Linked DNA regions of Danio rerio. The protein of the gene in region 2 binds, or shares a complex with, the protein of the main gene of each other region. Links are inferred from orthologs where the notes say so. Each region holds a gene or a part of one and is shown on either strand. Other genes may lie near its edges. The genes, in order: inhbaa and acvr2aa.

Region 1 (3,146 bases), on a different chromosome or scaffold from region 2:
CTGCAAGCGACAATTTTACGTAAACTTCAAGGACATCGGCTGGAACGACTGGATCATCGCTCCGTCGGGGTACCACGCCAACTACTGCGAAGGCGACTGCGCCAGCAACGTGGCAAGCATCACCGGCAACTCGCTGTCCTTCCACTCCACGGTCATCAGCCACTACCGTATCCGAGGGTACAGCCCTTTCACCAACATCAAGTCCTGCTGCGTCCCCACGCGCCTGCGAGCCATGTCCATGCTCTACTACAACGAGGAGCAGAAAATCGTCAAAAAGGACATCCAGAACATGATTGTAGAAGAATGCGGCTGCTCGTAAGGGCACTTCGAGAAGAGGAAGGGTGGGAAGGGAGCATGGTTGGACGGTCGGGGCAAGAACTTGAGTCCCGAAACGAATGGAAAAAGACGAGATGTAGAGGGAGGAGTCGAGAGCTCCTCTATCTCTATCTCACTGCCTCAAGACGAACTCTCGCGTAGACAGGCCTCTCTTTCTCTCGACCACTTGTGCGTGGTCATCTTAGAATCCAATGGGTATCTGTAACTCAGAGTAATCTCTGTGGCACTTTCAAAAGAGAAAAAAAAAAAGAAATATAATATATTTTTGTTACAAAGCAAAGGGAGCGAGGTCAGAGAGTATTTATGCGGCCTACTTTGCAGCGCAGACGTGCACTGCGGGAAGAGAGATCACACAGATGAGGTGCCTGAAAAAGAAAATCTCAAAACTATGCAACTTGTCAAGTATTACGATATATTTTCATCAAGGTGTTGTTTTGTTTCTTAACTATTTACTTTTACAAACTAAAAGAAAAGTTAACGTCGGTTGACTTTTTATACCTTGTTTGTGTGTTTTACGTATACATGTTTGTCGTGTGTGTCTGTACAAAAGTGTGTGCGTATGTGCAGTCTGCCTATGGGAGTATTTGTGTACGTGTGTGTGTGTGTGTGTGCATGTCTGTTTGTGTGTGTTGTTGAGAGATACTTGAAAGAAGTTTGACGGGCTGCTGGAACCAAACATTTCTCTATATTATTATTATTATTATTATTATTGTTATTATTCTAATTATTCTGACTATTGTTAATAATGTTATTATTTTGTTTTGGTTTCTGTACATTTTTTTTTGTTATCTTAATATGAGACGTTAAAACGTTTACAGTTTTGCACTATATCAACATTTTGATCAGCGTAGCCACATATACAAATATGTTTATAGAGAAAGACTAGAAGCACTTCAGAACAGACGTACCTACATAGCATGAGTCTAACAAATGAGATTGTTCAAAAAAAAAAAAACAGGGAGGTTAGAGGAGAAGCAAGAGTCGACTAGCACTACATCAGAGGACCATGTGTACACATGCGTTTTACAAAATAGTGTTTTGGTTTTTTACTCAACACCAAAGAGTTTCGTTTAGCGTTGCCTACCATATCAGGCTGTCTCCGAACGGTTGTTCAGAAGATACCAATATGTCTTTCAGAAGGTTGCTTTGTTCTCCCTACAAAGATGTCCAGGTTAGCGAACCGAAAGACCTTTAAAACGGCTTCTCAACGTCCCACAGCGGCTCACTCCTGTGTGTGCTTTTGCACTGCTGCACAGTCCAATCGCGACTGGCCATCGAAATGGTTAAAACAGCACTTAAACCAACCTTTTAAAGTTTGTTTTTCTTTTAATCATGAATTGTTACAAAAGTGAATGTGCAGCATTGATATTTAATGACTTGGGAGATGAATTACTATTTAGGTATTTGCAATTTCTGTCCACCAAATATTAAAGGGATCTTCGACGATCCAAACAAAAATATATCTATTAAAAAAAAGGAACTGTTTTTGTTCTGCAGATGTTGATATTTCCGCTTCCCGACATGAAATATTTTACCACTGTGCAATGTTTAAAAAAATGAAGCAATTTGGGAAATGAAAAGAAAAAAAAAAAGAACAGAAAAGACTGAGAGAACGTTTGTGTTACATTTTGAACTAAGAAAAGTTTACTATTTTCAGCGTGCTCCTAATGGGAGCGCATACGAAATGTCATTAAAGAGAAAAAAAAATACTATTAAAACAGAAAAACAGATTCAGAAGAAAAAAATAACACATGTTGTATATGTTTTTGTATGTTTATTTGTTTGTTGTTATTAAAAAAAATAATTGACACTGAAAAAAGTGGACTAAGAATAAAAAATATATTTTTTATTCTGTATATATGGAAATCAAGATACCAATATGTTGCATTGCTTTGTTGTACAAATCAAAAATGTGCTTGTGGCTATTTTTTTTAATCTAATTTATTCTACAGTATTTTGTCCTTTGCTTCACCATTAAAGTTAAAAGGTTGTACACTAAAACAGATGACAAACGTGTTGGTTGTGATTTCTTGCACAGGACACACACATCTAATTTTAAGATAAACAACAATTCACAAAGCACACGCCAGACTGTATGGACCCTATCACAATTATGACACATTTAACAGTCATCGACATCTTAAAAAGTTTAAATATTTCTTTAAATGTATGTGCATTTATAAAGCTATACTTTGCATTAAGTTTATCATCTTTACATCAAATTACAAAAAACAAATTACCGCTGACGTGTGGTGTTTCTAATGTAGCGTCTATGGGGGCTGGAACAGTAAATTTGACAGTTTTTCTCTTGAGTTTGTTGTGATCAATCTCAATTCCCTCAATTTTTTTTTCTGAAATCTTGATAACACAATCTATTAGTTGTTCTTTTATTATTTGAGCAATTATGAAGGTGTTGTATTTTCCCATTGACTGGTTAAAGTCTATAAGAGATACGGCTGTGGATTTTGTGTAGTTGTGTAGTGTGACACTGTACAACATTTTTTTTTACCATTTTTATGTTACTGTGGGGTTTGGGTTTAGGATTAGGCATAAATAAAATGCATTTTAACGGGTAATTTAATGAATAATACAAATGATACTTGATATTATTACTATTTTACAATACTATGAGGGTGGGGTTTAAGGTTAGGCATCAATCAAATTTAATTGAAGGGGTAATTTCATAAATAATTATATGAATAATACTTGATATAATTACTATTTTACAATACTGTGAGGGTTGGGTTTAGGGATGGGGTGTGGGTAGGCTTTGATAAAATAAAATTAATGGGTGATTTAATAAATAATAT
Region 2 (3,835 bases):
GTGTGTGTGTATATATAAGTGCTGTCAATTGATTAAAAAAATTAACTAATTAATCTCACTTTTTAAAAAAATAATCGCGATTAATCACATTTAAAAGACTGAAACTTTTAATTTGGGCTATTCTAGTGTAAAATTAATATAAATGCAAGACAAATACTGTTTAAATACAAAATATAATTCATTACTAGAATTTTTGTTTAACTTGTAACACAGATTATCTTCATGTAAACAACATACCCACAATAAACCATCAAGATCCTGGCTTGACAGCCATATTTATTACAAAAATAAAAACACAGTCATGTTAATGCCATGTTGGATTCTATGTGGACTGCAAAAAAAATGCCAAAATAAAAGCATTGCAGATATGGAAAATTATAATAATAATAATAAAGTATTGAAAATCTGTGCATGCCCTTGAATGGGTTTAGTAACTCCCATTCTATAAAAGCACAACAGCCATATATAGGAAATAACGAGAGTTGACAAATTAAAAAACTAAATTTTTTTATTTATTATTAAAATAAAATTATAATCCACACTGAAAATGTGGGTGCCTGTGTGTTTTGAGGGAGCCTAATAAATAATGAACATAACAAAAACTGCCTGCTGACGTACACAGTTAATGTTGATTAATAAAATAAAGATAAATTATAAAAGCAGAGAAAGTCAGAGACCCTTAAAAACATGTTTACTCAACAATGAAACATCAAATGTAGCTAAAAGATTTTACATTGTCAATCAAATGAACTTAAACAATTGAAAAATGCAACAAATATTTGTTTCTGCCCGAACTACAAAACTAAATGTAAAAAAAAAAAGTTGCTTAAGTTGCACACTAGTTTGGTCATGTATAAATATCATTATAATAACCATATTGTATAAATATTGTCACTATAAGCCTACATCATGCTGACGATCAAACACACAATGTCATGATATCTCCTGCGCTTGTCTTCTGACCGAGTGCATCTTAAAATTCATGACTGACACCCCTCAGAGCTTTAGAAGCGGACATTCTTTATAATTTGTAAAATAAAGACTTGCAGGTTAAGGAAACAGCAGGCAGAAGTTGCCGCGGGCCGTGGTGCAGATTAAAAGGCACAGACCGGCGCGTAAGAAACAGGCGTGACTCTCGGCTATTTTGACCAATACACAACTGGGTTACACAGAGCCCAACATGGAAGTTTGTGATTGAGTCAGCCCAATGTCAATAAAGAAAAAAACCAATGGGCTACAGATGATGTCGCACGGCTGCTCTTTCCGGAAAAGAAACATCTTACTTTCAGAGCGTGATAGCTCACAGCACCGTCAATAACTGAGGCAGAAAAACATGACAATAGTGTTTTATGGGCCGATCAGATCATAAGAAGATGATCAGCCCGGCCCAAAAAAGTACGTCGAAACAGCGGGGAAATTGCCCGGCGTCTGCCCCTGGCCACAACAGGAAAAAAAAAAAAAAAAAAAAAAAAACAAAAAAAAAACTGCGTAATTTTTTTAAACGCGTTAATTATTTCAAATTAATCGCATGCGTTAACGCGTTAATTTTGTATGTATATATATATATATATATATATATATATATATATATATATATATATATATATATACATATATATATATATATATATATATATATATATAAACAGAACCAGCAGTGCATATTTCAGCTAACATCATCAAGCCCAGCATCATACATTTAATCGACCCCTTCCCACAATCAAAACTATAATTCATCCAATTTACGAACAAATGCACCACTAAAAAAAATTGCCAACACGGTTTCATTTTAACCAAGTGTTGTTATAGTCCCTGAAGACTTTTGACTGCTACATTAAAAGCTAATAAAACTTCTTCCATATCAAAAACAAGTTTGGGCTGATCATGATATTTAATATCAGTAGCGCTGCGGGGATGGTTCATCTGTCAGATCTGGCCTACATAACACTGAAACTCAATCGGGGAATTCCAAATGCTCACCTGACACAAAGGTAACCCTTTGTGCAACCATACAAGTCCCACAGCTCACCCCGACACACGCGCTTGTAAATGCATCTATTCAGAGCTGCCAAAGATGTCCTGCAGTGCTCAACAGTAAGGATTTTTCTTCCCCCCTGGCCCAGATTCCTTGACATCACAGGCCAAATCTATAAAGATCTATTGTGTAGTTCAGAAATAGATGTGAATCTTAACACTAGTCCCACACAGAGGGTAAAGGTCACCTGATTGCTCGTGTCTTGTGTTCTGTCAGCTCTGTAATCTCGTGTTTATGGTGGGAGAAGAGGGCATCGAATCACAACAGCGTCCTGACGGATCTCGTCTTGATTTCATCTGACAGTGTGTTTGAGCTTGAGCGAGTGTGACATTGAGCACATTAGATCCCTAAAATCACTGTCGTTCGCATCAACAGGAGGTGCCAGCAGGGGAAATAACAGCTCCCGATAGCACCGCTTTTAGTGGCAAGAAGAACTAAATTCACTGATAGGAGCAGATGGACTTTATAATACAGTGCTGAATGTGGTTCACTGACATAAGTGTTTCAAAAAAAAGAAAATACACCTCTCATTTCATTAAATGTTAATCAAAACGCATGCAAAATATATTAAAGACATTAAGTTACCTGGGTAGGCACCAGAACAGGAGGGTATGCCAACTTGTGATGCCGATACATCCAGAAGGAGAGCAGGACAATGGCTGCAATGCCCATGATGGGCACGATGGAGTACAGAAGGGTACTGAACAGTGGCGGCTTCTGGGTCAAGGGGTTTGATGTCGCTGATGAGAGAAAAAACAACAAAGATCAGCATTAATAAAAACATTTATTAAGTGCACAATTTACACATCTGTTCAATAGTTTGGGGTCAGAAGGATTTTAAATTTGTTTCCGATATTTACATATATCACAAAATGCTATTTATCTGGGATGCCAAAGATGAACTTTCAGCAGCAACTACCTCAGTCTTCAGTGACAGAAGATCCTTCATATATCTAATATGCTGATTTGGGGGAAAAAAATCCTCACCCCAAACTTTTAAACAATATTATATCTCTGACTAATATGTTACTATTTGGGAATAAATGGGAAATATTCTTGGCGCTGTTCACACAGGATATATTTCCATATGTTTTCATAAGCACTATTACTTCAAGTAGATTTTTCATTTGCTCAAGGAAAAATATCAACCGAAAGTTTCACTTCAGTGTGCTCCATCCAGTGTGAAGGTCTCCTTATGCTCCTGTGCTTAAGAAAAACAAATGATTGCTGTATTCTCCTAAATAAGTGATACTACTCACATAATGCTTTATACAAATTATAATATTTACAATATTTATTTTATTATAAAACCACACATAAAAAAATCTTCAGAATATTTTTTCAAGGTTAAATGTAGGTATCTTTCCAAAGAAAACATTTACAGATGCGACAAAAGGTCGCCTAAAATTCTATATGATAATGCCAAATGTAAAAAAAAAGGAGCTGGACATAATTTCTTCTCCGCATTAAGATTTCACAATGTACAAAATGTGTACAGCGCAACAGCTTGTTTAGTGCTCTTTAGTACTTGTTTACATTTTAGACAAGTCAAGTTGTGATACCAAACAAGACCACGTGGACAAAAGAAACTGCTTTGACCTGCCAGCGTGTACTCACTACAGTACCAACACATTTACATGACCAGTTAAATTGTTATCCTGAATGTGCGTGGAAACAATGGGAATGTACTGAAATTTGCCTGTGCATAAATATGGTGTATTGGGAACGCACATTCATGATTTAACTTTGCATAAATAATAATGGATTTCATGATGCCGGATGCATGTCACTGTGATCATA

Evidence for each region.
Region 1: the proteins of acvr2aa (region 2) and inhbaa are in contact, whole or in part, in a crystal structure (PDB 7U5P), measured with the Homo sapiens proteins. The link is inferred for Danio rerio from reciprocal best matches to the Homo sapiens genes ACVR2A and INHBA. Residues at the interface, in NP_001265508.1 of Homo sapiens: Asn36, Asp53, Lys56, Phe61, Thr63, Lys65, Val74, Lys75, Cys78, Trp79, Leu80, Asp81, Asp82, Ile83, Asn84, Val100, Phe102; in NP_002183.1 of Homo sapiens: Ile340, Ala341, Pro342, His346, Arg397, Pro398, Met399, Ser400, Met401, Leu402, Tyr404, Asn409, Ile410, Ile411, Lys412, Asp414, Glu421.

The regions. Positions count from the first base shown.
Region 1 is NC_133199.1:3,242,361-3,245,506, forward strand, and holds the end of inhbaa (inhibin subunit beta Aa), read left to right. Parts: coding exon 1-319; 3' UTR 320-2,344; downstream 2,345-3,146. UniProt on the Homo sapiens protein: Inhibins/activins are involved in regulating a number of diverse functions such as hypothalamic and pituitary hormone secretion, gonadal hormone secretion, germ cell development and maturation, erythroid differentiation, insulin secretion, nerve cell survival, embryonic axial development or bone growth, depending on their subunit composition.
Region 2 is NC_133184.1:27,031,036-27,034,870, forward strand, and holds part of acvr2aa (activin receptor type-2A precursor), read right to left. Parts: intron 2,776-3,835; coding exon 2,621-2,775; intron 1-2,620. UniProt on the Homo sapiens protein: On ligand binding, forms a receptor complex consisting of two type II and two type I transmembrane serine/threonine kinases.